7 linked regions of the Macaca fascicularis genome follow. The protein of the gene in region 2 interacts with the protein of the main gene of each other region in a pairwise test. Links are inferred from orthologs where the notes say so. Each region holds a gene or a part of one and is shown on either strand. Other genes may lie near its edges.

Evidence for each region.
Region 1: the proteins of CEP70 (region 2) and ARHGEF3 interact in binary tests that used the Homo sapiens proteins (3 or more experiments, as listed by UniProt). The link is inferred for Macaca fascicularis from reciprocal best matches to the Homo sapiens genes CEP70 and ARHGEF3.
Region 3: the proteins of CEP70 (region 2) and ZBTB16 interact in binary tests that used the Homo sapiens proteins (3 or more experiments, as listed by UniProt). The two-hybrid records come from large-scale screens. The link is inferred for Macaca fascicularis from reciprocal best matches to the Homo sapiens genes CEP70 and ZBTB16.
Region 4: the proteins of CEP70 (region 2) and ZNF302 interact in binary tests that used the Homo sapiens proteins (3 or more experiments, as listed by UniProt). The two-hybrid records come from large-scale screens. The link is inferred for Macaca fascicularis from reciprocal best matches to the Homo sapiens genes CEP70 and ZNF302.
Region 5: the proteins of CEP70 (region 2) and ATP5PO interact in binary tests that used the Homo sapiens proteins (3 or more experiments, as listed by UniProt). The two-hybrid records come from large-scale screens. The link is inferred for Macaca fascicularis from reciprocal best matches to the Homo sapiens genes CEP70 and ATP5PO.
Region 6: the proteins of CEP70 (region 2) and SUV39H2 interact in a two-hybrid assay, tested with the Homo sapiens proteins (2 studies listed by BioGRID and IntAct). The link is inferred for Macaca fascicularis from reciprocal best matches to the Homo sapiens genes CEP70 and SUV39H2.
Region 7: the proteins of CEP70 (region 2) and SYTL5 interact in binary tests that used the Homo sapiens proteins (3 or more experiments, as listed by UniProt). The two-hybrid records come from large-scale screens. The link is inferred for Macaca fascicularis from reciprocal best matches to the Homo sapiens genes CEP70 and SYTL5.

What each region holds. Positions count from the first base shown.
Region 1 is NC_088376.1:120,162,251-120,166,475, forward strand, and holds the start of ARHGEF3 (rho guanine nucleotide exchange factor 3), read right to left. Parts: upstream 2,801-4,225; 5' UTR 2,085-2,800; intron 1-2,084. UniProt on the Homo sapiens protein: Acts as a guanine nucleotide exchange factor (GEF) for RhoA and RhoB GTPases.
Region 2 is NC_088376.1:41,433,976-41,437,927, forward strand, and holds the start of CEP70 (centrosomal protein of 70 kDa), read right to left. Parts: upstream 2,801-3,952; 5' UTR 2,224-2,800; intron 438-2,223; 5' UTR 344-437; coding exon of another isoform or gene 335-343; intron 1-334.
Region 3 is NC_088388.1:112,988,218-112,992,339, reverse strand, and holds the start of ZBTB16 (zinc finger and BTB domain-containing protein 16), read right to left. Parts: upstream 2,801-4,122; 5' UTR 1,935-2,800; exon of another isoform or gene 1,148-1,934; 5' UTR 1,053-1,147; exon of another isoform or gene 1-1,052. UniProt on the Homo sapiens protein: Acts as a transcriptional repressor. Transcriptional repression may be mediated through recruitment of histone deacetylases to target promoters. May play a role in myeloid maturation and in the development and/or maintenance of other differentiated tissues.
Region 4 is NC_088393.1:41,934,038-41,938,076, forward strand, and holds the start of ZNF302 (zinc finger protein 302), read left to right. Parts: upstream 1-1,239; 5' UTR 1,240-1,254; coding exon 1,255-1,320; intron 1,321-4,039. UniProt on the Homo sapiens protein: May be involved in transcriptional regulation.
Region 5 is NC_088377.1:13,016,715-13,020,214, reverse strand, and holds part of ATP5PO (ATP synthase peripheral stalk subunit OSCP, mitochondrial), read right to left. Parts: intron 3,432-3,500; coding exon 3,321-3,431; intron 1-3,320. UniProt on the Homo sapiens protein: Subunit OSCP, of the mitochondrial membrane ATP synthase complex (F(1)F(0) ATP synthase or Complex V) that produces ATP from ADP in the presence of a proton gradient across the membrane which is generated by electron transport complexes of the respiratory chain.
Region 6 is NC_088383.1:15,808,148-15,812,445, reverse strand, and holds the start of SUV39H2 (histone-lysine N-methyltransferase SUV39H2), read right to left. Parts: upstream 2,801-4,298; 5' UTR 2,778-2,800; coding exon 2,747-2,777; exon of another isoform or gene 2,706-2,746; intron 2,543-2,705; exon of another isoform or gene 2,163-2,542; intron 1,178-2,162; exon of another isoform or gene 1,117-1,177; coding exon of another isoform or gene 1,113-1,116; intron 166-1,112; coding exon 20-165; intron 1-19. UniProt on the Homo sapiens protein: Histone methyltransferase that specifically trimethylates 'Lys-9' of histone H3 using monomethylated H3 'Lys-9' as substrate.
Region 7 is NC_088395.1:37,836,405-37,840,523, forward strand, and holds the start of SYTL5 (synaptotagmin-like protein 5), read left to right. Parts: upstream 1-1,319; 5' UTR 1,320-1,578; intron 1,579-1,886; exon of another isoform or gene 1,887-2,045; intron 2,046-4,119. UniProt on the Homo sapiens protein: May act as Rab effector protein and play a role in vesicle trafficking. Binds phospholipids.

The sequences.
Region 1 (4,225 bases), about 79 Mb from region 2:
TAGCATGCAGGAGGCCACAGCTCGTCCTCATCACAGTGGTACAGGGACTGCATCTGGTTCTCTGTTCCCTCTCCTTCAATAGTTCTCTGTTCCCTCTCCTCCAATGGAACAGGCTATTGCAGGAGGCGACAAGTTCCCTGTGCCTAGAGGATTCAAGCTTAGGTTAAACAGTAACTAGGAAGAGATGTTGCAGAGGTGATTTAATCTGGAGGTGAAAGTATGCCACATTCATGGTCACTTTCAACCCTGAGCTCCCGACCAGCAACTAGTTCCTTTGCATTTCACTACTCTCCAAACTCGCCTCACTTCAGTCAATGGGTGTTCATTCACTCAGGACAGTTATTGTGCACCAGCTATATGCCATGGGCCAGGAGTCAGTAGTGAACAGGACAACACACCTCTGCCCTCTTGAATCCTATGTTCTCCTGGGTGGATGCACACAATAAACCCATAAATCAATGCATGAATAAGATCATCCCAGGCAAGCTCTATGAATAAAATACAAGAAAGAATGTGATAGAAACTAATGGGGGAGGGGCTGCTTTGGATAGAGTAGTCAGAAGAACCATCTGTACAGGGGAGACATCTGGGCAAAAGGGCAAGAAAGAGCCCAGCATGGAAGAAGTGATGGAAAAGCATGCTAGGTTGAGGGAACAGCAAGTGCAAAGGCCCTCAGAAGTCTTCTGAAAACTTGAACTCAAACGTTCATGAATTGCATCCCAGCCTAAAGGTCTCACCACAGGCCAACAGTGCCTAATCTCACAGCCTGCGTCTCTTTCCCCTAATTGACCAAGTCAAGGCTGACCTGTATTGCCTACTGAAAAGTGCGTTCTGGGAGGGTGAACAAGGGCAGCCCCCAATTTGCAGGGAATTGAGATGTAACGGGGGCAAGAACCTTCACTTTCCTACCAGAAGTTCAGAGTCCACTTACAGGCCTCATGGAGAATACAATGTAAGGGGAAACTTCTGGAAAAATAACTGTGCCTCATGTATATTTCAGGACATTCCCTGGGGCTCCAGGTACAGAGCTCTTATCTGTGGAGTTCAGAAGACAGAAACTAAATTTCCAAGAAGATACTAAACGGGTGCAGCCCAGGAGAACTCTACAGATGGAGGGAGCAATCTGCTAGAGATGAATGAATGCGGGAGAAGAAGACAAGATCAGGTCCCCGGACCCTGAAAGAGACTCCCGCACTCACAGAGACTAGACAATATCAGCCTGTCAGGGGACCCAAGGCCTAAAAGAATCAAGTGAAATCTACCCACCCTCCCCCCGCCAACAAGAGGCAAACATCCAATCGCACCCCAGAGCTTCCAAAGAAGATCCAAGACCCCACTTCCCAACAGAGTCCTTGACAAAGTTCATCTCTAATTCCACATTCTGAGATATACTTTGCACAAGGCTGGTTAGCCACAGGAAGTATTACAGCAAAGCTCAAATTTCCCAGGGCGGAAGAGAACACCATGGCTCCTGTGTAAACACCACCAGCTCCTTACCAGAAGAAGGGGAAGGAGCAACAGCCTGCAGACCCACCTCATTGAGAAGCTAGGGCTGTGTACGCGCTGTTAGATGTCAGTGATAATAATCACAAGAGCAGCTAACACAGAGGATTTATCCTGCCCCAGTCAGTATTTTAAGCACTTTATCCCTATACAAGTCTTTAAGGTTTGTACTATTTTCATCCCCACCTTACAGATGAGAAAACTGAGGCATAGGTAAGTGAAGTAACTTGCCCAGGACTACACAGCTAAGACAAAGATCCAGCGAAGCTCTCCTCCTCCACACCCCAGGGAAGAAAGTGGTTATACCTGGGTAGTGCATGAAACGCTTAAAAATAAGTTTCTACCGGTACATTCAGGTCAACTACCGTCTGGCAATTCCCACGTCCTCGCCCAGTGCGGGAAGCAAGCCTGGGACAGGCAGTAAATCCAGCAACCCGAGTCCTCTAGGAACAAGGCGCTCTGTTTCCGCAACATTCAAGCGCGTGATGGGGCCGCTGATAGTGCAAAAGCAGCTCTCCACCACCGCAAAGCCCATGGGAACCCGTTTCCACTCGGCTCAGTCGGCCTCAGAAAACGCTCACCCGTCTCTGGCTGCGAGGCACCCACGCTGACCTTAACCCCTTGGCGTCCGCCACCCTGGCGTCCTATCTCTGGATCTTCTGGCCGCTCGGTTTAAAAGATGCAGCCGCCGGGACAAGGGCCTCAGGCAGGCTGGGACGGTGCCCGCCGCCCGGAGCGCCCTGAGTCCGGCTCGCCCGCCGCGAAGTGACCCGCAGCCCTGTGAGCCGCCACCAGCAGCGCGCAACGCGACGCTGACCTGCGAGTGCCCCGCCAGGCTGGAGAAGAAAGTTGGGCGAAAGGGGCGCGTCCCAGGACAGGTGGCGCCTCCCTCCCAGGAAGTGGCTCCGGGAATTTTCGCTCAAGGGGCTACCCGGGGACCAGAGTCAGGGTCCCCAGCAGGAGCGACGACTGGTCGAGGTTGGCGGTGGCACTGCCCACTTGCACTGCGCCCAGTGCGCCCCCGTGCGCTGGACGTACCCTAGACCAGGGAGCGCTCAGGTCCCGCCGGGGGCGCCGAGACCTGGCGGGGTAACTCGGAGGTGGGAGTGGCGGGGGTCCAGCTCCGGGACCGGGGCAAAGGAGGAACCAGCCCGGAAGAGGGTCTCACTCCGGGAGATCTAGCGGGGGTGTCCCACCAAGGGGGTGTCCAGCCGGGAAGGGTCTAGCCGGGGAGCGGGGTTCCCGGCTGCTGCCCGCACTCACCTCGGCCCCCGCGCTAGTTCGGCCTCTCCAGGCTGGAGAACTCACCGCGGAGGCGGCGGCGGATCCCCTGGGCGGGGCGGGGCCGGGGGCGGGGAGGCCGGGCCGGCCACGTGGGCGGGAGGCGGGCCGGGGACCCCCGCGGGCGCCGAAGCCGGGCGACGCAGGACTAGGACGTGGCCACGCCCGGCCACCGCTCGACACTCCAGCTCCCCATGCACGGCCTAGGTCTACGGGAAGGCTAGAAAGAGGAGAGCGGAGACCCCAGGACATCCCTCCCCCGCCGCCACCTAAATCAGACTGAGGCTGAGAGAATTAACCGAGTCGGAGGAGTAAACAGCCCTGCCTCTGGCTCCAGCTGTCCCGCCAGAGAACGCGCCGCGGAAACCCCGAGGGTGGGTCGAGGGCCGGGTACCCTAGTGGGAGGGGACTCTCGTGCGGGGGTGGTAGGGGCTGCCCTAGCGGTCCAGGGCCAGAGCCTGCACGCGGAGCTCCCACCCCCACCGCTGGGCAGATCTTGGGCGTGTCAGATCTTGCCCAAGCCTCACTTTCCTCGATGGTGGAGGTGAGAATGAGAACGAGCTGCGTGAATCCGGGCGCACTGTAGGCTCTCAGGAATCGCCGGCTTGTAGGTGGACGCCGAGCCTGAAAGTGAGGAGCCTGGGTCGTGCATGCGGAAATCAACATGGGACTCTAAATAAAACGAGTTTCTGCAGGCATTCATTCATTCAACAGATGAACGCCTACGGTCCTCATCACCTCTTAAAATCAGAAATAAAGAATGCCCTAGACTGTCGTTACTGGGCTCTTAAGAAAATGTAAACCCCGATGCTAAAAATGAAAAATTCATCAGTTGCCCCCATGTGCCGGCAGTGCATTTTAGGTGCTTGATCGAAATTAACATTCACGACAGCCTGTGCGGGCCCGCTTCTCAAATGAAGAAATCGAAGCTTAGCGAGGTGAAGCCAGCCCCCAGAGCCAGAGGATCACAGTCTGGCCCCCTGTTTACAGAGGAAAGAGCATCAGCCCAAGGTACTAAGGCTCTTGCCCAGGTGCAGGAAGGGGGTGAGGGTTGAGAGCTCCCTGGGAGGCCACCTGTCGTGACAGCAGCAGCTGGGATGCAGATCTTCCAGATTTACTTCATAGCAACCTCTGCCTTCTGTTGCCAGTGCTCAGCCCCGCAGTGCTGGGTGGCCTCTTCCTGGCCTACAGCCCACCTTTTGGGCCAGAAACTGGGCATCTTGAGCAAACCAACTTCTATTCCAACAGCTGCAACTTCATTCCACTACAGCTTGACCCCAGACCCAATGCATTGTGACCCACCAGTTTCCTGTTCAGGGAACACACTCTCCCCAGTACTCCATTTCCAAGGACAACTCCTGTGTCCAGACCCCTAGTCCTCAGTCTTTTCCCCAAGAACCTTTTGTCATTCTCCTTACTCCCTAATGCAGAAGATCCCTAC
Region 2 (3,952 bases):
CAATTTCCTCATCATAAAATGAGGATAATAAAAGTACTCAGCTCACAAATTAAAGATTAGGAGAGTTAATACAGAAAGAACATAAAGCATTGCCTGGCACACAGCAGGATGGAGACAGTGATTAGAGTTGGTGATCAGCTTTCTGTGTTATCTTAAGTAGGTACTTAACCTCTCTGAGCTTCAGCTTCTTTGCTAAGTTGTAAAATATCTACCTGATAGGATTATCAGGAAGTCCAAAGGAAATATATGTAATGAACCTAGTATAGTACTCAACAAATTACATACTTTTCCGTGGTCTCCCAACATCTGGAGTCATCCGTTACATTAGACATACCTCAGTCATAGCATACTACTCTTGCACTTTACACCTGGTCATTCAGGTTGATCTCAATGAAATGATCACCCAACGAGTCTCATGTCTGAAACTGGATCTTCATCTAGGTTTCAAAAAGATAAAAAGAAGAAAATCTTGAAATGTTCAGCTTCCTAGTAAGAATGGTCTTCTGTTACTCCCAGAGCAGGCATCCATGGTACTGGTAATCACAGATAAACCAGGCACAACTGAAATAACTGCTAATGCCCTTCCCAGCTCACTACCATACACCTCTTCCCTTCTCTTCTCTCCCCTTATCTTTCCTCTCCCTACCTTGCTAAGACATTTAGCTGGGTATCCAAATCTATCATCATCTATCATCAATTCTGACTTCCGGCTCCACAGGTAGGATATTCTCATTTGCAAGGATACTAAAATGAAGCATCCTCAGACAAACTACAACTGATCACAAAAGCAAACACAGGAACAAAACTACTCCTCATTTGCACCTGTGACCAAACCCTCCTTTTCAGAGGTCCATTCTATGAAATTAACAGGCCAATAGTTTGCAGCAGCCTTTTCCCCACTACAGGCTGTCCCTACTTCCAGGACAAAGGTCTGGAACTTTTAAAGTCACAGGAAGAGACCAAATGCCTTCTAGGGCCAAAACAGAAGCTACAGCTTTAATTAGTGTCATAATACACTTAAAATAAGATGGTGGGGGTAGGAGTCAGAGGGTAGGAGTTGTCTTGTACATGGCATAGTAAGCCAGGCATAGAAAAGCAAAAACATAATTGTATCTTCTGACACTTTCTAGGTTTCCCGAGTGTTTCAGCCAAATTGCCCTTTATAGGTCTGAAGTCCCTTGTAACATGCTCCATACCTTAAAATTTAATTATCTTTTCACCATTTGGGGTCGGGGAGGGGAGCTGACAATAAACCATGGCCAGTAACTGTTCCTTCTCAACTGAATCACAACAAAATCTGTAAGCGTCTTCAAAAGCATATACTTCAAATTACTGCAATAAATGAACATGTAACCCTTTCGAAGTCTCTATTCCTTATTAAATGCAAAAGCTCTATTCTGAAAATATGGCAACTTGCTGTTTAATGTTCCTAAGAAAGAGTTGAACCTACCCCAAATAGGAAAGAGTTAAAATGGAATGTCATCTCAACCAAATCATTCTGTCTCGCGAGAGGTGACATGAAGCGGCAGAACCTTGCTTTGAAGCAAAAGCTGTAGGGAAAACTCCAAGTCAGCCACCTCTTCCCCAAAAGGCAGGGTTAGGGGAGGCCAGAGTCTACTTGGCAATATTTAAAGTACAAAACTCATTGCAGAGGCTTGAAACCAATATGGATAATGCCTGCACAGTGTTTAATATAATATTCATACATATATATATATATATATATATATATTTTTTTTTTTTTTTTTTGATACGGAACCTCGCTCTCCAGGCTGGAGTGCAGTGGCACGATCTCAGCTCCCAGCAACCTCCGCCTCCCGAGTTCAAGCGATTCTCCTGCCTCAGCCTCCCGAGTTGCTGGATTACAGGCGCGCACCACCACGCCCGGCTAATTTTTGTATTTTTAGTAGAGACATGGTGGTTTCACCATGTTGGCCAGGGTGGTCTCGAACTCCTGACCTCAGGTGATCCGCTCACCTCGGCCTCCCAAAGTGCTGAGATTACAGGCGTGAGCCACTGCGCCCGGCCTGTTTAATATTAACAGTGATTGAAACACTGATTGAAAAACAGTGGCAGTAAAAAAGGAAACTCAGGTCTCTCTGTTACAGGTGTCTTAGCCTTCCGACATTTTTCACCTTGAAAAACTCCTATTAGGCCCTGTATAAAGTCAGAGGTCTCCTGAATCCGGAATGAGGTTAATAAACCAGAGAAAGAGATACTCACCTGTGCTATTCGCCTAACCGCCCCCTTCTGCTCCGAGTCCTCACTCCCCAAACCACCTTCGCGGTTGTTTGCCACAAAACGGGCGCTTCAGTCCGGGTCGATTTTGGGGGATGGAGTAATTACCTACAGCTTAAATCGAACCTGTGCCCGCTGTGATTCTAAGCTTTACTCTTACTGCCTCATTTAACCCACACAACCACTTTGTAAGGCGAGAATTACCAGCTTTAGTATACAAATAAAGAATCCGAGGCGCTGAGACATTAAAGGAGAAGCCAAAGAACACAAAGCCTGGGGAGCTGGGGCTAGCACGCAGGTTTGTCCCATCCCCAAACCCTTACGCAGGGATTTGTAATTGGCGCGACCCTATCCCAGGCGGCTCCTCCCTGACAAGGGTCAGTCTGACCACTGTTAGGCCCAGGTGAGGTCAAGTCCGGGGTGCTCCGAGAAGGGGCTCACGACTACACCTCTGAGAGCCCCGAGCGCCACTCACCTTCCTCAGTCGCCGCCTCCCACCAGCAGCCAGCCCGGCCCCGGCTAGGCTGGGATTACTACATCAGGCCCCGCCTCCGCGACCGTTACCTCCGCCGGGGAAGGGCGGCCAATCGAGCCCGAGCGCGTCGAGGGCCAGCCCCTCTTTAGCCTGCGAACGCCCCCAAACGATTCTCTCCAGCCTCACCCGGAAGCTGGGTCCGCCCCGCACCCTCCGGTTGGCTCAGCTACTGGGGGCGGGGCTTATCGCAAACGCAGGCGTCGGCTAGTCGTGGGCAAGCTGGCGTTTCCATCGCTCTCCTTAGGTACCCTGTCACTTACATGGAGCCTTATTTGCCTGGAAGATGTCAGACATACTTGTGGCCGTAGGTGAAAGTGAAGCCTGGGTTACCTGGCCTCCAGAGACTGCCCTCTCTCTCGCCCCCTACCCCGCCGCTACTACGAGCTCTTGCTGGGGTACGGGTCAGCATGTTCTCGATGTTCCAGACCTGGCTGACCACTGTAGCAGCTGACATTTGGAGGACCCCAATAAATGTTTGTTGATGACATTTCTTCCGATTCAGCATTTTCCACATCTCGACGAAGCTTCAGGCCCTACCTCAGGCTGTAAATGTCCACCATTTTGATTGTATCTTATAGCCACATGGTGTCGCTGTTGACAACCTGTCTTTTCAAATCAGTCAAATGATGTAGGTGTGCGTAGATGCAGATCCCACAGGAGCCAGCAGGGATGTCCCATCGAGGGCATCAGCCAACGGTCTCTCATCAGGAGGTCCAAGGGCTCTTGGAGCTCAATAGTTTCAGACCCTTCTTAGCATTCTTCCAGGCAGCTGGAACTACACTTAAGTTTAATCTCTGTGTTTGCCCCATACAAACATGTCCCTACCACAACCTACGCCCACCCACTGTGCTTTCTATACCTGGATATTCACTCTCACGATGGTTAGCAGATTTGCATTTTCAGTTCTCAAATCGCAAATAGTCTCAGTGCTTCCCTTTTCCAAGACAATAGGGTACCCTTGCATACTCTTCTGAGCATGGCTGCCCTAACTGTAGAGGCCAAACATCTTTGGGTCAGTTATGATTATTTTGGATGCATGTGATATGAAATCTGAGTTAAATTGTCTTCCTAAAAAATGAGGAAGTTGCTTATCTCGCATAACAGAAAGCCCAGAAGCAAGGGAGACTTTAATTCAGTGGCTCAGCAAGTTAACAAGGACCCAGTTGCTATTAGTCTCTG
Region 3 (4,122 bases), on a different chromosome or scaffold from region 2:
CAAACTTAGGTCATTTCTACCCATGGAAGCCTCAAAGTTATTGTATGTATAATCTAAAATCTGCACTGTGTGTATGTACACCAGCCAGAGACAGAAAGAGTGTGTGGGGCAGGGTGTAGTGTCTCACGCCTCTAATCCCAGCACTTTGGGAGGCCCAGGCAGGCGGATCACCTGGGGTCGGGAGTTCGAGACCAGCCTGACCAACGTGGAGAAGCCCCGTCTCTACAAAACATACAAAATTAGCCAGGCGCGGTGGCACCCGCCTGTAATCCCAGCTACTAGCGAGGCTGAGGCAGGAGAATCACTTGAACCCGGGAGGCGGAGGTTGCGGTGAGCCGAGATTGTGCCATTGCGCTCCAGCCTGGGCAACAACAGCAAAACTCCGTCTCAGAAAAAAAAAAAAGCGTGTGTGTGTGTCTTTACATACACACACACACACACTTATATAAGGGGCCGTACCTACCGTCCTGCCCACAACTGGCCGGTGGACAGGAGGATCTAAAAAACGAAGAAGGATGGATCATTAAGGTATGGAGAGAGACCACAGTAAATATGCTCCCCTACAGCCAGGAGCGCTTATGCTGGGCTGGGTGTGTGAACTCCACGTGTGTCCCACAGGCTCCAAGGAGTCTGCAAGTCCTGTGACCAGGGGCAGCAAGGGATGCCGGACATGGCTCAGAGGCGCTGGAAGTGATATTGGCACCAGCATCTGTGGTGTGAGTTACAACCAGTACGAAGGGAAGACAGGGCTGGGAAACAAAGGCCTCTCCCAGAGCCTGTTCGGGATCAATAAGAGGGCTCCTAGACTCCAAACCCCGCTTAACGAGTGTTAGAAAGACCGCGCAGGCCCAGGGCCCTCCCCGTGTCTGCCTTGCAGCGACCAATATTGCAGTGAATGCACTGAGAGCAAGGAACAGCAAGGTCTCTCCCTCACTCTTCGAACACTGCTTGCTTGCCTCCACCCCCAAAAGAAGCTCTATCAGTTCAGGAGCCACCAAGCTCACGCAGAAAGGATTCACAGGACGGCTGGTCAAGACACTTTTGTTGCCTACCCCGGGGTGGGGACGGAGGCCGTCAAGGGTGGGATGAACATTCAGCAGAGCCTGGCCACCGCGTGCTTTCCCGCAGACATCGGGGCTTCTGAGAACTAGGAGGGAACAGCCAAAAGAATGGAAGCTTGGCGCCCCAAAACAAGCCCTTTGGGTCCTGAGGGAAATCGGGGCGCCCACGGGCAGCCGTCTTCCCCACCCGCCGCTCGGCGCCCGCGATTCGGCCGGCGCTGGCTGCAGCGTCCAGCCGGGCGGCGCGGGGAAGAACCGGCGAGAACCCGCCTGAGCTCCGGGGATCGACCGTGCTCTCACACGCCTCCAGTTCCCAGCGACCCCCCACCGAGACTTGGAGACGACTTCAGCAAACTTGGGGAAGCAACTTTTCCCGAGGAGCTAGACGCCTGAAAGATGAAGAGCTGGGCTAGGGACGAGGGAAAGCGAAAGAGACTGGGAAAAAAGGCGACAGTCCGGGCGGGCTGGACTCCGCGGGGAGAGCAGCAGGGAGGCGGACCCGCCCCGCGGCGAAGGGGAAGCACAAAAGCCCCGCAAACGAGTTGTAGGAGGAAAGGCGAGAAGGGGTCTGCCCGCCCTCCCTCTCCGACCCAGGGCCGTGACCCCCGGGAAGCGACCGGCTGGGTCCCCGGCCTCTGGCCAGCGGCGCCAGCGGCCGGCGCGCCCGTCCGAAGCACCGTGCGAGCGTCTCGCGGAGGCGGCGAGCGAGTCGGTGCGGAGCGCTCCGTGCGTCCCAGTGGGTCCGTGGGCCGGCGGGACCCTGCGCATTTCAAGCGCGTGCGGGCGTGTGCGAGGCGCTGTGCGAGCTAGCGGCGGGCGCGCCAGGGTGGGAAAGGCATCCCGAACGCATCAGGTGCAGAGACCCGCACCCACCGAGAGCGGCCGGGAGCGCACGGCGAGCTCCGGTGTCACCGCCGGTCCCGTCGAGAGCCGAGGAGGGCCCGGAGCGCTGGAGACCCTCTGGAGCTTCCCTCCCTCCCCTGCAAAAGGGGGGGATCAAGTCCAATCAATAAAAAGCCCACCACGTTTTTTCAAACAGAAACAAAACGTAAGCAGTCCCAGTCCTGTTCCCCTCCGCCCCCAGATCTACTCGTCAGCTCCTCCGATTCTAGCTTCCCAGCCGGCCGGCGAATAGACACACAAATAAATAAACCACAACCCTATCTCGCGCCCGCGCACCGGTCCGCATACATAAGAGCACCCACGGGCTCTGTTCCTCCGCTGGCCCCTGGCGGTACAAAGCCTCCGGATCCCCGACCCTCTGCTCACGCCCTCAGCCCCCGCAGACCGCTACGCCCCCCACCTCTCACCCCGACCGTGCCCTGGAGAGGAAGGGCTGGGGAGGCAGCTGTGCCCAGGCTGACAGCCGGGGCTCCCCCTTCTAGCCGACCCCCAACCGGTTGCGGCGACGGCTGCAGCGGCAGGAAGGGAACACGCCAAATAAAAAAGGCACAAGCCCAGCGGCCGAGTGGCCGAAGCGAGCGCGCGCCCCCCAGACCTCTCCAGCCCCGGGGAGCCCCGGCGCGCGGCGCTCGCTCGGCGGTGCGCCTCTTCCCGGCCCCTCACTCACCGCAGCCGAGCCGGGCACTGTGGGGTGGGTGTGCGTGCCTGTCGGGGGGTGTGTGCCTGTGTCGGGGAGGGGTGTTGCTGGGGAACTGTTGCTCTCCGTATCAAGGCGGCAGCGACAGCATCGCCCGGCAGTTCGCAGTACCCGCTCTCATCGCCCTCAACTCCTCTCTGCTGCGAGGTTAGCAAATCACCACCGGCTGCTGCGCCTCCGCCGCGTCCCACGTCAACGCCGAGCCCCCTCCCCTGCAAGGCCCCGGCGCCTCTCCATCTTTAGTGCTGGCGGCCGAGCCCGGCTCCCTGCCCACAGCTGCCCCCCTTCCCTCCCCCCTCCCGCGCCGTCCTCGGGCTCAGCCCGCCCACCACCCCGCACTGGCCGAGCCCGCGCGCGCTCCCCGCCCCACCTCTCCTTTCCCCTCCCCTCCCTTCCCCTCCCTTCCCCGCGCTCCGCGCTCCGGGCTTCGCCTGACATCTAGCTGCTGCTGGGGCGCTGGCGGCCGCCGCTCACCGGCCGAGCGGAGAGGAAGGAAGGAGCTAGAAGACAGGCGTGCAGGGGACGCGGAATCCTTAATAGGGGAACTGAGGGTGAAGGGCGCGCAGGAGCCCCCACCTCCTCCCAAGACTTTAATTTCCATTGGATACGAGTTTTGTCCCCCCTCCCCCGCACCCCGGTGCTCAAGCACGCAGTTTTGTCCCCTCTTCCAATGTTTGCCCCAATTCAGTGTGTGTCATCTCGCCTTTAACTTTTTTCTCATGGCTCTGGGCTGCATTCCCAGTAGCCCCTGACATCTGTTTCAAAAGGCCGCTTTCCTAGTCCAAACCCGGGCCTCTCATCCTTCTGGCTACTGCGCGCCTCCCGGCTTGAGCATCCGGATTTCAAGAAGTCTCCCGAGGCAGAGTTCGAGGGTCCTGGTGAACCAGGTGCCAGAAGGTCCGCGAGATCTGTTGTCGAAGCGAGAGGTCCCTTTTTAGCTGTCGCGATTGCTGGAGGCCAAGGTCGAGTCCTGGGAGAAACTTTTCTCTCTCTCAGACTTGGACAGCCTCTCGGCTCTGCCCGCACCCGACCCCCGACCCCCAGCAATCTGGGTGCAAACAGTTTCCGACAACTGCGCCCAGCTCAGTGCACAGTCTTCAGGGGGCAGGGGAAAACTTGGAAAAGCTCTGGGCCCCTCAGAAGTGCGTCCTCCTTCAGCGGGCCGTCCTGCTTTAGAGGGTAGAGAGGCCAAAGAAAATGTACCCTTCCTCTGACTGCAGAAAGCTGCCCTCTCCTCTTTTCCCTGGAGCTCAGCGAAGGTAGGGTGCCAGAGGTGGGAAGCGCTCTTTGGGCACCGGTTGTGGATTCTGACCAAAACCCAGGAGGTTGGGGTGGGAAGTGGGGGTGACCGAGAGCGCCATCCAGGGGTCTCAGGCCAGTCAGCCCTCGAGGTCACGTGGTTTTAGCAATGCGGGGCTTAGGTCACCGAGGCCTGGGTCTGCATGTTCTGTCCGTGACTCG
Region 4 (4,039 bases), on a different chromosome or scaffold from region 2:
GCGCCCCGGAGAGTGATTACCAGTGTGCCTTTCCATTATGGTGTGTCACAGGTGCCAGCCTTATTTTTCATGACTACTGTTTCCTGTCCTTCTGTGCCCTCAGGACACTGCCCATCTGTAAGATAAGAGCCTGGAAAGGGGACTCTATTGGCTACTGGAAATTGCAGAATAATGGCTCAGGTAAGTCGGTGTGTCCCCAAGTCTTCCTGAAACACTTCATGAGGCCTCTGTGTGTTTGCTTTGCTTCTGCCTATTCCCACCTAATCAAGTCCATTTAAGGGACTGGATCTATGGTTCCTTTCACTATAGGAAGGATGGAGCCCACAAGAGAACACCAAGGTATTGCTCTCTTCACCCAGTGTTCCTCTTTTCTACAGTTTTCTGCTAGAAGACTTTCTAGATTGCCAAAATTTTTAAACTGTAATTCACAATGCAACTTTGGAATGTAAGGTTATTTGGTTTATGGTTGTCAAAACTGTACCATGTGGTCTCAAGTGAAGAGATGTTTGGAGTCATCCTTGATTCTTCCTTTTGATTTATAACTAATATTCCGGTCCTCTAGTTGGATCTAAACGATACACCGTGTACAGCATCTAACCATTAGCTAGCCCATCACCACCACCACCCCTACCACCAGTCTGAGCCACCTGGATTATTGGGGTAGCCTCCTAGCTGTATTCCCAGCATCTGCCCTTAACCCGCATCAATCTATTCTCAGTACAACTGTTACTGTGATACTATTGTTATATAAATTCCTGTTATTCTTCAACCTAAAATTTTTCAGTGGCTCTAACTGAGTCACTTCTGCAGTGACCTATTTGTACAGTTAGGCCATTACCTCTCTGATCCCACCTTCCTTCTCTGCCTCCTCATTCCTTTGAGCTCTAGCCACTGTCACCAGTTGCTGTGCCATCCACGTGGAATATTCTTTCCCTACATATGCATAAGCTTGCATTCTTATCTCCTTCATGTATTTGTTCCGTGGTTACTTTCTCAGAAAAGCTTCCCTGAACGCCTATTTGCAATTGCAGTCACCTTCCCTTGACCAGCACTTCCACTCCTCCATCACTGCTTTGTTTTCCATGGCGCGTGTCACTCACTAGCTGATGTACTGTATGTTCAGTATATGCACCTGCTCATTGTCTGTTCCTGGTGGGAGGAATGTTTTTTCTTTTTTGTTGACTGCTATAGCTTCAGTACCCAGAGTGTTACCTGGCACCAAATAGATTAGTAGGTAATTGTTGGGTGAATAAGATGAGTAATGAAGAACTGGTGGGGCAGAATCATGGCATGGAAGGTGAAGCTTGCACAGGAGGGGATGTAAGTAGCAGATGTACATGTTGGGTGAAGTCTGTTTTCCTGGAATAATTAGATAATTAGAACTGAAAAACTGGCGTAGTGGTGCATGCCTGTTGTCCCAGCTACTTGGGAGGCTGATGAAGTGGGAAGATTTCTTGAGCCCTGTGGGTTGAGGCTGTAGTGAGCTATGATTATGTCACTGCACTCCAGCTTGGTGATAGGGCAAGAACCTGTCTCTTAAAAAAAAAAAAAAAAAAAAGGAAAGGCTAAAGTGAGCTAATACCAAAACGATTCATTGGTTCATCTTCTAAACACTTACAAAGTACCTGTTAGGAAAAGTTATACATGGATTTCAGTGTACACTGACACACAGAACTTCATGATCTAGTGCAGTATTGTCTAAGAGAACTTTCTGCAGTGGTGGAAGTGTTCTGCATGTGTACTAGTCAGTACGGTAGCCACCAGCCCTGTGTGACTATTGAGTACTCGAATTTTAGCTTAAGCAACAGAGGAAATGAATTTTAAATTTTATTTAATTATTTTATTTTTACATTTTAATTAATTTAAATGTTGTAGCCAAGTTGGCTAGTGGCTCCTGTGTTGAAGATTGCAGCACTGGTAGAAAAGTAAGAAAGCATAAGAAATTTAAATAAGTGCTAGCATAGATATCCTATGTTCTTTTGGGGGCTCAGATGAGTGAACATCTCAAGCTGCCCGGGCAACTGAAGGGGAAGAAAGAAGCATTCTGGCTCTAAGTTGTAATGACTGGTTTGTCAAAGATATGAGAAATGTTATTTTTATTTGGGATATAGGCAATTAACTAACACAGTGGCAACTCCAATTAACAGGTGAATTTAGAATAAATTTTGTGTAGCAAATTGAACTGTCAAATCTTACTTGAGGATAAGTTATTGTTTATTTGGAAAACATATGTGTTGGATTGTATCTGCTTGCCTATATAATAAGATGAGATTTCTTCCTGTCCTTTTAATCTCAATAGTGGATTGCTTGTGAAGTGCCTCAAGGTCTGATTTAATGCTTATTCAGTAATAAAACCGTTTTCTTTTTGTTTCTACATTTGTGGAGAGGATTTTCTGCCATTGGAAGGAGGTTTGAATTTTAATTGTTTTCCCCAAACCTGAGAAAAGTAAATTCTGGCTTTAAAACCAAAGACCCATGTCACTTGTGAACATGCATGCAAAATATCCAAATAAAGTGCTACAATACTGAATGAACTCTCAGAGCTAAAAAATAACCACAGTAGAGCAGTCTGTTTTACAGATCACAGACAGTAATAATGCTGTATTAAATGGATGTACTTTTTGCACATATTGTAATTTGACTAGCCAATAAGCTACTATTGAATATTTAAGCTTCTAAAGTTTTACTATTTTAAATAATACTGTGAAATGAGTACTATTGAGAAGAATTTCTAAGTACATCTGTGAGCATTTTTTTTAGAATATTTTCTTTGAAATGTGCTCTTTTGTTTTTTTCTGTTACTTCCAGGTCCTATTTAAGGACTGTCTATGGCAGGAGTCCTCAACCTTTTTGACACCAGGGATCAGTTTTGTGGAAAACAATTTTTCCATGAAAGTGGGAGGTGGTGGAGGTAGTGGTTTGGGGACGAAACTGTTCTACGTCAGATAATCAGGCGTTAGTTAGATTCACATAAGGAGTGTGCAACCTCGATCCCTTGCATGCGCAGTTCACAGTAGAGATTGCGCTCCTCTAAGAATCTATGCCAGAGCTGATCTGACAGCAGGCGGAGCTCCGGTGGTAATGCTCACTTCCCTGCCACTTACCTCCTGCTGTGTTGCCCCATTCCTAAAAGCCACAGACCAGTACCAGTCCGTGACCGGGCGGTAGACCCCTGATCTATGACATCTTCAGTCTTTTCACCCAGGAGTCTCATATTTCAATTATTAAATGTTTGTCAGTACTCAGTTTAAGTATACACCATAAATATATTTTTGTTTTTTGTTTATGAATCAGTTGTGTGTATATTTTAGTCTGTTTGTGCTGCTGTAACAGAATACCCCAGACTGAGTAGTTTATAAATAATGAAAATTGACTTCTCATGGTTTTGGTGCCTGGGAAGTCCAAGACTAAGGGGCAGACATCTGGCAAAGGCCTTCTTGCTGTGTCATTTTATGGTGGATGGGCAAAGAGAAGAGAGAGAGGCAAAGAGGGGCCTGAACTCATTTTTTAAAATAAGGAACCCTCTCCCCTAATGATGACATTAATCCATTCATGAGGACAGAGTCCTCAAGGCCAATCATCTCCTAAAGGTCTCACCTCTCAATACTATTAGAATGGCGATTAGTTCAATATATGCTTTTTTAGGGAATACAATCAAACCATATGTCTTATCAGTCTTTAATATAAAGATGTCTTTTTTTCTGAACCCATTTTTTGTGAGCTTTAGTGAATCTTCCTGAGTATCCCATTTGAGAGACAATCACTTTAGCCTTATTTTCACTTACTTATTTTAATTACTTATTTTTAATTACTAGCACTTAGCTCTAAAAGATATAACTAAATACTTTGTGCTGTCAAATGTCAAATGTTGCCTTTTAAAAATTCATATAATTCTAAACTTTTAACAAAATTAACTCTACTGAAGTGAAGCTATCATATTTGTCTCTCATTCTTATTGTGTAAAAATTCTAACTACATAACTGTCCCCTTTATTGTATGTTAATTCCAACTACATAACTGTCCTGTTATTACTTAACTG
Region 5 (3,500 bases), on a different chromosome or scaffold from region 2:
CAAAGTCTTGCTCTGTCGCCTAGGCTGGAGTGCAGTGGCACAATCTTGGCTCACGCAACCTCTGCATCCTGGGTTCAAGCGATTCTCCTGCCTCAGCCTCCCAGATAGCTGGGATTACAGGTGTGCGCCACCATGTCTGACTAATTTTTGTATTTTTAGTAGAAAAGGGGTTTTGCCATGTTGGCCAGGCTGGTCTTAAACTCCTGACCTCAAGTGATCCACCCACCTCGGCCTCCCAAAGTGCTGCGATTACAGGCATGAGCCACTGTGCCTGGCCATACACACACTTTCTTATGAATTAAGTATTTTATGAATTAAATTAGCACTGCCAAAGAACTTATGACAAAAATATTATAATCAAACAATTTTCTGACGGCCTTTCAGAATACACTGCACTGCACCAGGATTTTATATAGGATAGAATGATGTTCCTCAAAAAAATTTAAAAATACTGTATGAAATTTCTTAAATTTATTTTTGCTTTTCAAGAAAGATTATAAAACACTAAGCAGCCAAACTTCACTTGACTGCATATTTTAATGTATTTAAGAGTATTAGTCTGGCTTTTCTAGCAGTGCTATTTCTAAAGTGCAGACCTCAAAACTGTGCTCTGACTGCAGAGGCCTCCTCACTGCTCCCTTGGAGGGGTCCTGCCTCTTACAGTGTCCAGGGAACCCAGCAGATTCTGCGAGACCTCTGGTGCTGCCAGAGCAGCCAGACCCAAAGAGTCTGGGAGACAGAGTGGACAAAAAACGGGAGCACAACCATCATGGGAAACGACCTTCTTCTCATTTTGTTATATCACAAATATCTGCATTCAGTGACCAAGTGCAGCTTCCAGCATGTTGCTCCAGAGTTCCAACAAACCAACAATGGCAGCTTCCAGTCAAGCACCTTCAGTTAACACACCTCTCTATGCCTCAATTACTCTCCTAGCACCTCCTCCCAGGCTCCTGGCCAGAATCCTGTCTCTGATCCAGGATACTGGTCAGATACTATCATCCAATGCTAACATTTCCACTTGAGTGACCCCACAGAAATGACATTTTTCCATAAAAAATGCAGGCATACACAGATTGAAAGCATTCTGGAATTTGGGTTACCTAGTTTTTCATGTTTATCTGTGTCTCCTGCATCATCCAGAGGACAGTGAGTATGATGCTTGCATTATCCTTCCCTCTTAATGCCAAAACTCTGCTAATATTCAGAGTGTCTTCAGATAATTGCCTCCCTTTTTCTCCATGTCTTGACTGACTTCCAGGCTTTAGACAAACTCCATTCTAATGCCCACAATCCAAGTCATTCTCTCCATTGTAAACACGATTGTTTCTGTTTAAAATGGGCATAACTGACAAGTAGCAGACAATAACCATCACCTCCAAAAACGCCTGTGTGAGACCCCGTCTGTTCCTGCATGCCCTTCCTCCAAATGTCTCCAACAACAGGGCTGGGTTCCTGGGCTCTGTGAGAATCATTAAGAGTTTATCACACCAGCTAAGACCTTAAGCATTATCTGCAGAGGTAAATGGATCAAGGAAGGAATATGGAGCTAAAATTATTCTGCCTGTTAAGACGGAAGTTCCAACAGAAGCTCAAGTGAAAAATGAATAAAACATAAACAGTACAGAACAGTAATACTTATAGACTATACACACGATGATTAATATAGAACATAAGAATTATTATTCTATACAACTGGCCTATGAACTGTTTTTCCTAAACAATAAAAACTTACAGACATATGAATTAAGGAATGAAGAATCTTTTTTTTGTTTTTGAGACAGAGTCTTGTTCTGTTACCCAGGCTGGAGTACAATGGCATGATCTCGGCTCACTGCAAGCTCCGCCTCCCGGGTTCACGCCATTCTCCTGCCTCAGCCTCCCCAGCAGCTGGGACTACAGGCACATGCCGCCATGCCGGGCTTTTTTGTATTTTTAGTAGAGATGGGGTTTCACCATGTTAGCCAGGATGGTCTCGATCTCCTGACCTCATGATCTACCCGTCTCGGCCTCCCAAAGTGTTGGGATTACAGGTGTAAGCCACTGCGCCCGGCCAAGGAATGAAGAATCTTAAAATCAAGAAAGAACAAAACTTCCTCCGAAGAGGCTATATACCAGACTGCGTCTCCTTCACCTTTTTTAATGCAGACCTTACTGCCAGTGGTAGCAGCCAGAAAATCAAAGAAAGAAGCAACAGAATGTGTAGAAACTTGTTAACTAGAAAATTCAGTGAAAATGAAAGCAGACATTCTCCTATTGAGTTACAATGTAGGCTTCTGTTAATACGGTTTATTTATTCTGCTTTTCATGTTTAAAAAAAAGTTACAAACATCCTGCAGCGGCCTCACAGTCTTTGCCTGTCAGTCCTCTATTACCCCTGGGAAGCCCATACCCCTTTACTAACTCTGCTGCCCAGCGTGCCCCAGCCTGTCATTCTTCTGTCACATTTTGGGAACAAAATAACAATGAAAAGGTCTACATGGTTACTTCTGGGGTTCTGACAATTGCAAAGCATCTCTACCAAATGAAAACAACCTGTAAGACATGTCTGAGCCTCCTCTGATTCTACAAGCATAGAATATGGCAATTAAAACCCGAGGCAAAGGTTTTATGAAAACAAATTCTCCGTAAAACCCAATCACAATATATTCTAAAGACCTAGCCCAGAAGCATATAATCTTTTTTTTTTTTTTTTTTTTTTTTTTTTTGAGATAGTCTTGCACCATCACCCAGGCTGGAGTGCAATGGTGCGATCTCAGCTCACTGCAGCCTCGGCCTCCCAGGTTCAAGCAATTCTCCCGCCTCAGCCTCCAGAGTAGCTGGGATTACAGGTGTTCACCACCATGCCCCGCCAATTTTTTGTAGTTTTTAGTAGAGATGGGGTTTCACTATGTTGGCCAGGCTGGTCTCAAACTCATGAACTCCTGATCCACCTGCCTCGGCCTCCCAAAGTACTGGGATTATAGGTGTGAGCACCGTGCCCAGTTATAAGTATAGATTTTTAAAGGTAGCTTTTAAATTCTCCACTGAAATAGCAATTTTCCTAAATTATCATCTATTTTAATTTTACATTTCTATCTTTTCTTAGCCCCAAATCTTGGTTCCTAATATTAATATCCTTATATGTATCTGTTTGTTCTTTTTATATGTTTTATAATAACAAAAACCCAACATTATCACTAAAAACGTGTTTACAGAAAATGGCTTTTTCCCAGTTCTTTTTCTTGGAGGATACACCTCATTAGGAATGCAGTCAACCAACCAAAGGAAAAAATATACAAACAGGAACTTAATATATAATGAATAGGAAAGCTACTTACTGCTACTCTCAACAACTCCTTTTCTACTTGCTCCAACTTATTCTGTTTTGATGCAGCAGAATAAAGAGCCGTGGCATAGCGACCTTCAATACCGTATACCTGAACAGGAGGCTTTAAAGAAAAGGTGAAATAGGAGAGGAAGCAAAAAGGAAAATCAGTTAATAGTATACTGTCAAGAGC
Region 6 (4,298 bases), on a different chromosome or scaffold from region 2:
GGCTAGACATTTGCCTTACCTTTACTACCTTGTAGTCACACAAGTATTCCACCTCATAATTGTTTAGATTCCTTTTGGTGATTCCAATCGATTTACATGTGAGCTTTTCTTTTCTACATAATTCCTGAAGAGTATCAAGTGAAACTAGGCAAGGCACACACCAAGCTACAATAAGAAAATAGAATTCTTTACTAATGAAATAGCTATTCAATTAAAATAAAAAAGAGAAAAACCCTCTATTCCCCAACTTTCAACTGGCAATTTTAGACTAAAAATTCCTATGACAAGAAACCAATTATGCGTCTTCAAGAAAAAGTTAAACATTAAGGAACTATTTCGTTAAATTGGTGTTCTTGGATTTTCTCATGGATTTCTACTCCACTATGTTTAACTGACATCAGTTGATTTCCATTAAGTCACTCGAAAATGTTTCATGTCTGTAAGCTTTTTAAAAATTATATGCAGATGCAGGTCAACGAGGTAGTGTTTCTTACTTTCATTGTATTCTACATAGACTATAATCACTATTTTAATAAAATGTAAATCTCTAGGACACTTATTCTTAAAAACACATCTAAAATATACTTTAAAACAACATTATAATTCGTTAACACATAACTCATTTTTTTTTAACTGGACAAAACGAACTGAAATCTAATTAAAATATATTTCTACGTTACAAACTCATATGTTAGTTTTCTCTTTGAAATGTTGCATGAAGCTTTAATTCCACTTATTATTTTACCCATACTGCAATATATTATCACCAAGGTGAATAAACTCGAGTTATTAAAAAAATGGAGAGTATATTGATATTTTGTAATACTTATTGACTGTATTGTTTTTAAAGCCAAACTTTTAAAACGGTGTTCAATTTACATAAGCCATGTACTAAACTCAAAGAAAATTAGACATACTTATCATCAACCCTCCAGAAGCCAGAAACTAATTGTGTTCCAGAAGATTTGACCCTCAAATTTCTGTAAGTAGCATGTTACCACACTGAATTTAAAGTGTAAATTAACAAACACGTTTAGGAAAATGGAACAAACTTGGTGTTAGGGCCAGTGTCATGGTAAGCACTAGACAGGATCAAAAGTCCTCTGCCCTACCCATCGCTCAGCCACCGAGCTATGTGACTTTAGTGAAGTCTCAATCTGTCTGGCTGTCACATTCACTGGAAAAAAATGGAGAAAACTGGTGTTACCAAACAAAATCTATCAGTAAACTCAAGCTTTACTTGGTAGCTCTCCAAGGTAGTTGCGATCACCTTTTATGTTTTGAGGTAATTTCAGGAAAGGGAGAACACTTGTTAGCAGCAATAACTTTTCCTGCACCCTTTCCTCATCCTCCCCACCTCACACAGAGACTACTTCATTGTCAGAAACCCTTAAGCATAATTTCCACCATCTCACTGGCTGCAAACGACTCCATCCTAAAGCAGTAAAGAGAAAGGTATTTTCCTCCAGAAAACGTGGGGGAAGAGGCCGATTGCTTTGGAGTGGTCGTTTGGGGGTAGGACAGTGATAGGAGAGAAATGACCCCGTAAGTCCCTTACATCTAAAAAAACTAGAGGACGTTTTGTGTTAAGCTGACCTCACTAAGGGGATCACGTATAAAGGTGGTTCCTCTTGAGTATCTACCCAAGGTGTGTTTGTGTGCTTTTCCTAAACATTTTTATCTAGTTGAGGATTCAAAACACAACCCGCAAAGGAAATGCTCTTCGAGAATTTAAAGGAAAAAAAAAAAGTGAACATGAAAAACTGCAAACACGTGGTTAAAAAAAAGCAAAACGACAATCTCTCAAGTCTCCAGTAATGTAGAAATATATTTCACTGACAAAATTAAATAGTTCATGACCACCACAAACACCTTCCGCTAGCTTAGTTCACAGTAACCCCTGACATTCTCCAAGGAAGAAAAACTCGGGGATAATGAGGTCATAATCCAAGTGGAGAGGAGGCGAGCTTGAAAACACCTTTACATTCCAGAACGCACGGAAAAGTTCCAGGCTCTCAAAGCGTGCGCGACACCAACACCCCCCGACGCCCACACCCACGCGCGCTCGGTGCCCAATTCCCCAGCGTCCACAGAAATAACACCAAGCTCCCGGTGGGTGGAAGAGTTACCGTAAGCCAGAGGCTGCAACCTCAAATACCCACTTTCTGGGCGACTCTCCAACGAGGCACTCAACCTCCTAGCGTGTCCGCCTTGTGGGGGGGGGGGGGTTCCTCGGTTATCCCCTTAGCACACAGGAGCCCCGATTTCCTCTCCCCCTCTGATATTAAGGTCATGTTCACGCCGGCGGGCGTCGCTTCCCGCCTCCCACTTCAAAGGCCCGGGCGCATGCCGCACGCCGCGCTCGAACCACCACAAAGGAGCCAGTCGCAGCCGGGCCCCCGGGACCTCCAGCCGGGGACCGCCGGGGAGCGGCCCCGACCCCCGAAGCCACCACGGGAGACGCCAAGGGGGCCGGGCCGAGCGGGCGGAGAGGCCACGCTCCGCAGCCGAAGCGCCCCAGGCTCGCGCGGTGCCCACCTCCGCGGCGGGAGCCGGCCGGGCAGGGAGGCGGGTCAGCGGCCTGGGGGAGGGTAGGCGCCCGCAGCGTGCGTCCCGGAGTCGGGGGCGCGGCGGCCGGGGAACCGCCACGTCGCCGTCTGGCTGGCCCGCGGGCCGGCCCCGCCGCCTGGGCCTTGGGAGCTTGCCTGGGAACGGGGAGGGCGAGGGGGCCGCGCTCCAGCCTCACCTCCTCGCGCCTCGGCCCCGACCGCCGCCATCTTGTGGAGCTTTCATTCAAACTGGCGCGGTCTGACGGGATAGCTCAGCTGGCCCGACGCCCCGCCCCTGGCCGGCCCGCGCGGGACGTGGGGGCCGGGGCTTGTAGGGGGGATGGAACCCGCACGGCGTCCTGACGTCACTGGCGGCCGACCCCCCGCCGCGGCGGTCAGCGCGCCTGCGCCCCAAGGGTAGGCCCGGCCCCAAAAGCGAGGAGCCGAGCGGGGCGGAGCGAGCGCGCGCGCGTGCTTTGGGATGCTGTGCGGTGTCCGGCGCCCATACCCTGAGCCAGGCCCGTTTGGCGCATTCACTCGGGAGGACGTCGGCCAGGGACGGTGCCTTTCGGGTCTGGTTCCGCAGCCACCGCAGCTCGGCGGGCCATGGTTAGGCTCCCCCCGACCCCACTTCCCTAGAGCACCGGGCCTCGGAAGCGGCCGCACATGGGCACGGCTGGAGAGGTTCCGCTGGCTTGGTGCAGTCGCCGGGATTCCGACTGGTTGGTGTGGGGTGTGGCCTGTGCTGCCCAGCTCCCAGCTGATCCTAATGTGCGGCACAGCTGAAACCGCCAGTCTCCATCAGTGCTTCTCACACTTAAAAGGGGTTTACGAATCGTCGTGGGGGGGAGGTGCGGACTTGGAATTTTTTGAGAGATGGGGTCTCACTCTGTCACCAAGCTCAAGTGCAGTGGCGCGATTACGGCTCACTGCAGTCTCGACCTCCTGGGCTCAACTTTTAATGTAAATTGGGACTGGGTAGGTCTGTAAGGAGACCCGAGCCCCCCTCCCGTGTTGTTGACAAGCTCCTGAGCTCGGCCTGCTGACGGGTGGGGGCCGGGAGGAAGAGGACTTGTTGGTAAGGAGGCTGCAGGGCGACTCCGGGGGCCTCCCACCTGGTCTCCACCCCCTCCCCCCAGCCATTCTTGACGCCGCATCCATATGACTGTTTTAAACAACCTAAAGCAGAAATCTTAGAGCAAATAACGAAAACTGGCAGAAAGCCATTTGATGTCTACTAAGGACTTAAACGCAGACCATTAAAGGACTGGTTATTTGATTCCATTATGAAATACTGTCTAGCCGTCTTAAAAAGATGTTCATGAAGCTTTTAGTGTTAAGCAAAAACAAAACAAATCCCCCTGAAATATAGTTTTAACTAGGAAAAAAATGTATAGGAAAATAACGAAATACAGCCTTTCGAAGTGATTTTAACTTCTCGTTTTTACATATTTAATCATTTTCTACGATGAGCATCTCACTACCTTGATATAAGGAATAAAAGGCCCTACCCAACCCTATCACCTGGAAGAGCATCCAGGCCCTTTAAGGCGTAGTCTATCTAGGATTATGCCTTCAGGCCCTTTAAGATACAGCCTCCCGTCCTAACCGACCCCAAGCACTCATTGCCTCTCCTGTATGTTTTCAGAGCCCTCCAAGGAGCGGCCTTCGCTACTCACTGGTCATTCCTGAATCCCTTTTTGGCTCCTTTTCCTCAGTCCAGCCTGGGTTCCTCAGGGAAGGGACTGT
Region 7 (4,119 bases), on a different chromosome or scaffold from region 2:
TAGACTTCTGAGCTTTCAATAAAGCTTCATTTTCCACTATGTGTTAGGCCATGTGCTGGATTACTAATACATTGAAATGAGTAACTTATAGTCCCTATGTGTCCAATTGTGGGGGAGATCTCAGTTTATAATGGTAGAAGAAAGCAATGGGATGATAAGAAAGGGCGTGTGTTAGGGGATATTGCCCACTTTTTGAAATTGGACCCCCATCCTTTATCAGAGTTACAAGAAGTCTGACAGCTGAAATGCTGTCCTCAAGTTGAGAAAATGACCCACCCCTTCCCTATTCTTGTTTCTTTCTCTCTGAACTCTATAATCCCTCACCCTTGCCAGGGATAAAGGAACTCTTTTTATACATTTTCTTCTTCCCCCCAGTTTTGATGTGGTGAAGGCAGGACTGAGGGTTCATCACCCCTACCACTCCTCCTAGCAGAACAAGATGACCTTTACCAGAACACACAAGGTCGTGAGACAGAATTCCCATGCCACGTTTGCTGAAGCTATTAACCGTTCTATAACCTGGCACCCCAGGACACCTTGACTGTCCCAACGAAGCACTGCCACCAAACCCAGTTTGGGTGGAGTCTTGGCTTTTCTTATTCCATGTCAGATTAGAGAGGTGACCCTTGGCACCAAGGTCCCATCATTCCCCACAGTACTTTTCCAAGACCCAGAGGGGATATGAGAGAGGAGAGACTTGCAGACTCCTCCACAAGGAACGGGGCTCCTAGGAGATGACATGGGAGTAACTTGTGCCTTGGCTGTGGTGAGCAGTAAGGGTACTCCTGGTATAGGTACAAACTGTGGGAAGTTTGGGCATCGCCATATCCACCTTGCAGGCGGATGTGTCAGATGGGCCACGGGTGTGTGTGTGGCGGGGGGTGCGGGGGGGGTGACAGTTCCTGCAAGGTAGGGTCGGAGGAAAGGAAAGACCTATGGAAAAGGATACACCTGGGATCTTGAGGAGCCAGCTGCACCTGTTTCTGGGCTGAGAGGCTTCCGGAGCCACCACAAGGTGGAGACCAAGGATGGCGGGGGTGGGGTCTTTTCAGACCGGTTGTAAGTCCTGGGGCTGGTTGTACCTCCTGAAGCCCGTTTGGCACAGCCTGCAGGAGGGACTTTGCAAAGCCGCGTCCAGGTAGTATATGAAAGGTGTGTTGAGCTCAAATGGTCAGCCCGGGGTCAGGGGGTTCTGGGGTGGCGGGGAGCCGAGAAGAGTGAGATCCACGAAGGAGGCTCTCACCCCTTGGCAGCGGGCGGCTGCCTTGAGGGGCGGGCTGTGCCTAGCGCGACTCTGGCGCCGCCGCCTGGGGGCAGCCGGCTGTGAGCCCCGTGGACAGGGGCGCCTGGAGACCGCCTCTCATGAGGCACTAGGTCCTGGTACTTGCTGGGGGTGGGGAGGGAGAGGGGCGCACAGCGCCCAGAGGCGGAAGCCAAGCGCGTGAGTCACTCTGTTCCCCTGGGTTAGGAGCGGGACTTTGCCTCCCGCCTGGGGTCTGCATTTCAGCTCCAGCTTCAGCGACTCATCCCAGCAGGCTGACCCCCTCCAGAGGCTGGACCAGCTGCCTCTCAGTCTAGGTGAGGTCCAGGCAAGTTTCTCGTCTTCTGATGCTTACTGTTTGGGGGACTCGCGGGGAGGGGGTCTTCCAGTCTGTGTCTGTCTGCCTTTGCTTCCTCCCTCTGGCTTTCTCCATTGGAGACAGAAAGTTAGATTTAAAAAACGCAACAGAGAATATAAAATCTGTGCTCAGACCGCAGATAAACAAAACTCTGGGGCCATATTCTTAATTTCCCAAGTACCTTCACATGTCCGAATGCGGCGTTTATGGAGCTAGGAATGTTATGTTTGTTTCGTGTATTTCCCTCCTCCCCCACTTTCCTCCGGTGTAATTCTTAGAGGTGGGGACAGGAGAGTCAGAGGGCTTAGCTGGGATCCTTTGCCAGAGTGGCTTCTTCATTCTCTGCGAGGTGGCAGATGTTTTACTGCAGCCTGAGTTGGGATCTTGGAACAACCCTCTTCAGCCCAGGACATGCCAGCGCTTAAGGTAACTGCAGTTGTTGCATATCTATCTCGCTATCATTGACTGAATCAAAATGTTCCGGAGGCACAATTAATGTGAATGCCACAATGTTGAAACATTCATTGAAGGACACTATTGAATGTTTTATTTTTTAACGTATTGTATTCCAGGAAAATTTTAGAAGACTATTGCTGGTTTTATTTTCTCTATTTTCAGATATGCTCCAAAGCCTATTATTCCCTTGCAAGACAACCAGTGAGGACCTGTTCTGTTTCTTATAAGGATTTAACAGTGCAAAACTACGTGTTAGTTTCTCCTCTAAGGTTAGGGAGTTCCTTCTATTAACCACTTTTAGAAAAACATTTTGGTGGTGTGGTGGCGGGGGGGAGATATTTCCCCTTTCTCTATCACTAAATGCAAAATGTTTCTGTGACTATTAAGTAAATACTAATTATTGTCATTTTTGCTTAAAAGGAGCAGAGGAGAGCATCTCTTGGAATGCATGAATTTGTGGTTCATGTTGATGACTGATTGCTTTACCATCAAATTGTTTGGTTTGATGCAATGTTAACAGGTGGTCTTAATTCACAACACAGAAGTATTCTATTCTAGAAAACAACCCTGTTGATATGCACACCACCGCCCCCCCACCCCCAACACGCACACACAAAACCATGTTTTTGTCTTGCTTTGTGGGAGAGAAAAATGGATGGGGGAATCTTTTCTGGCAGTTGATTAATCCCTGATCTTTCTTGAATTGCCATTCGTTTTATAACCTATAATTATAGAAAAGACCCCTCCTTGAAATAAAATTAATAAAACCTTACATGTTTAGTCAGATCACTGGAATAATTTTTTAGAGTTGAATGGAAGCTTCCATGATCCTCTTCCAATGTCCTCCCCAGGGAGCCGTTAAGCTTCCCACTTCTCTGATAACATAACTTCTCTCCTCTACATACCTCTGTCTTAGCTCTTACCACCTTATGATTCTTGGTTTACATATCCATCTTGCTTAGAGTAATAACATTTATGTGAAAACAAGGGTAATGCCTTATTAATCTTTGTATCCCTGGAGTCTAGTAAAGTAAGGTCTGTTTAAAAAAAATGAATGAATAAAATAATTTGGCAGTCCAGATTAGGTTTACCATTCCTTGAAATCCACCTGGGCATTCTTTCTCTTCACTCCTAAAAGATAAGTCATTTAATTCAATGATACTCAAAGTGTGGATCCTCGGAATACACTGTGTCCTAAATAAATGAGAGTTTTCTATATTTGAAAAAATCTGTATATTGTTGTGAACTTTAACTTTATTTTTATTTATTTTTATTTTTTGCTGAAAGTAACAGAAAAGCCAACTAAACATGGCTTGTAATACTACAGAAGTTTAGCTGGGCATAGTAGCATGTGCCCGTGGTCCCAGCTACACAGGAGGCGGAGGTGGGAGGATCCCTTGAGCCCAGGATTTTAAAGCTGCAATGAACTATGATTGCACCACTGCATTCTAGGCTGGGTGACAGAGTAAGACCCTGTCTCTCAAAAAGAAAAAAAAAAAAATAGAGAAGTCTGACAGCAGGTGATAACTGGAGTTGATTCAGTGACCCAACAATATCGGGGTTCTGAGTCAGTGTCTTACCCTCACGGCTTCAAGATGGCTCTAACAGCTCAAGACACTGAGTCCTGATCCCATGTTCAATGACAGGAAACAGGGTGGAAAAGGTCAGAGTATTTTTCCTCATGCAACTTTCTTATCAAAGAAAAAATATCTTTCCCCAAATTTATCTAACAGAATCCTACTTTGATCTCATTGGCAATATCTGGGGCACATAGCTGCCCTTAGTGGCAAAGGAGACTGGGAAAGTATCAGTTTTTTTCAGCTTCTATAGTGGAAAGGCAGCCAGGGAGAGGCAGGTAGGTGATGTATCTGTGGAACTAACCAGAAAGTCTACTAGACTGTCAAGAAGATAAGTCTATTTGCACCTGTGATCAATGTTCGGGCCAAGTAAAATACTAAACGTTAATCAACATAGCAAAAGCACACATTTAGAGCAGAGTTCCCCTCTCCACAAGGGTGTATGGTATTTTAAGGGTGCCAAATCA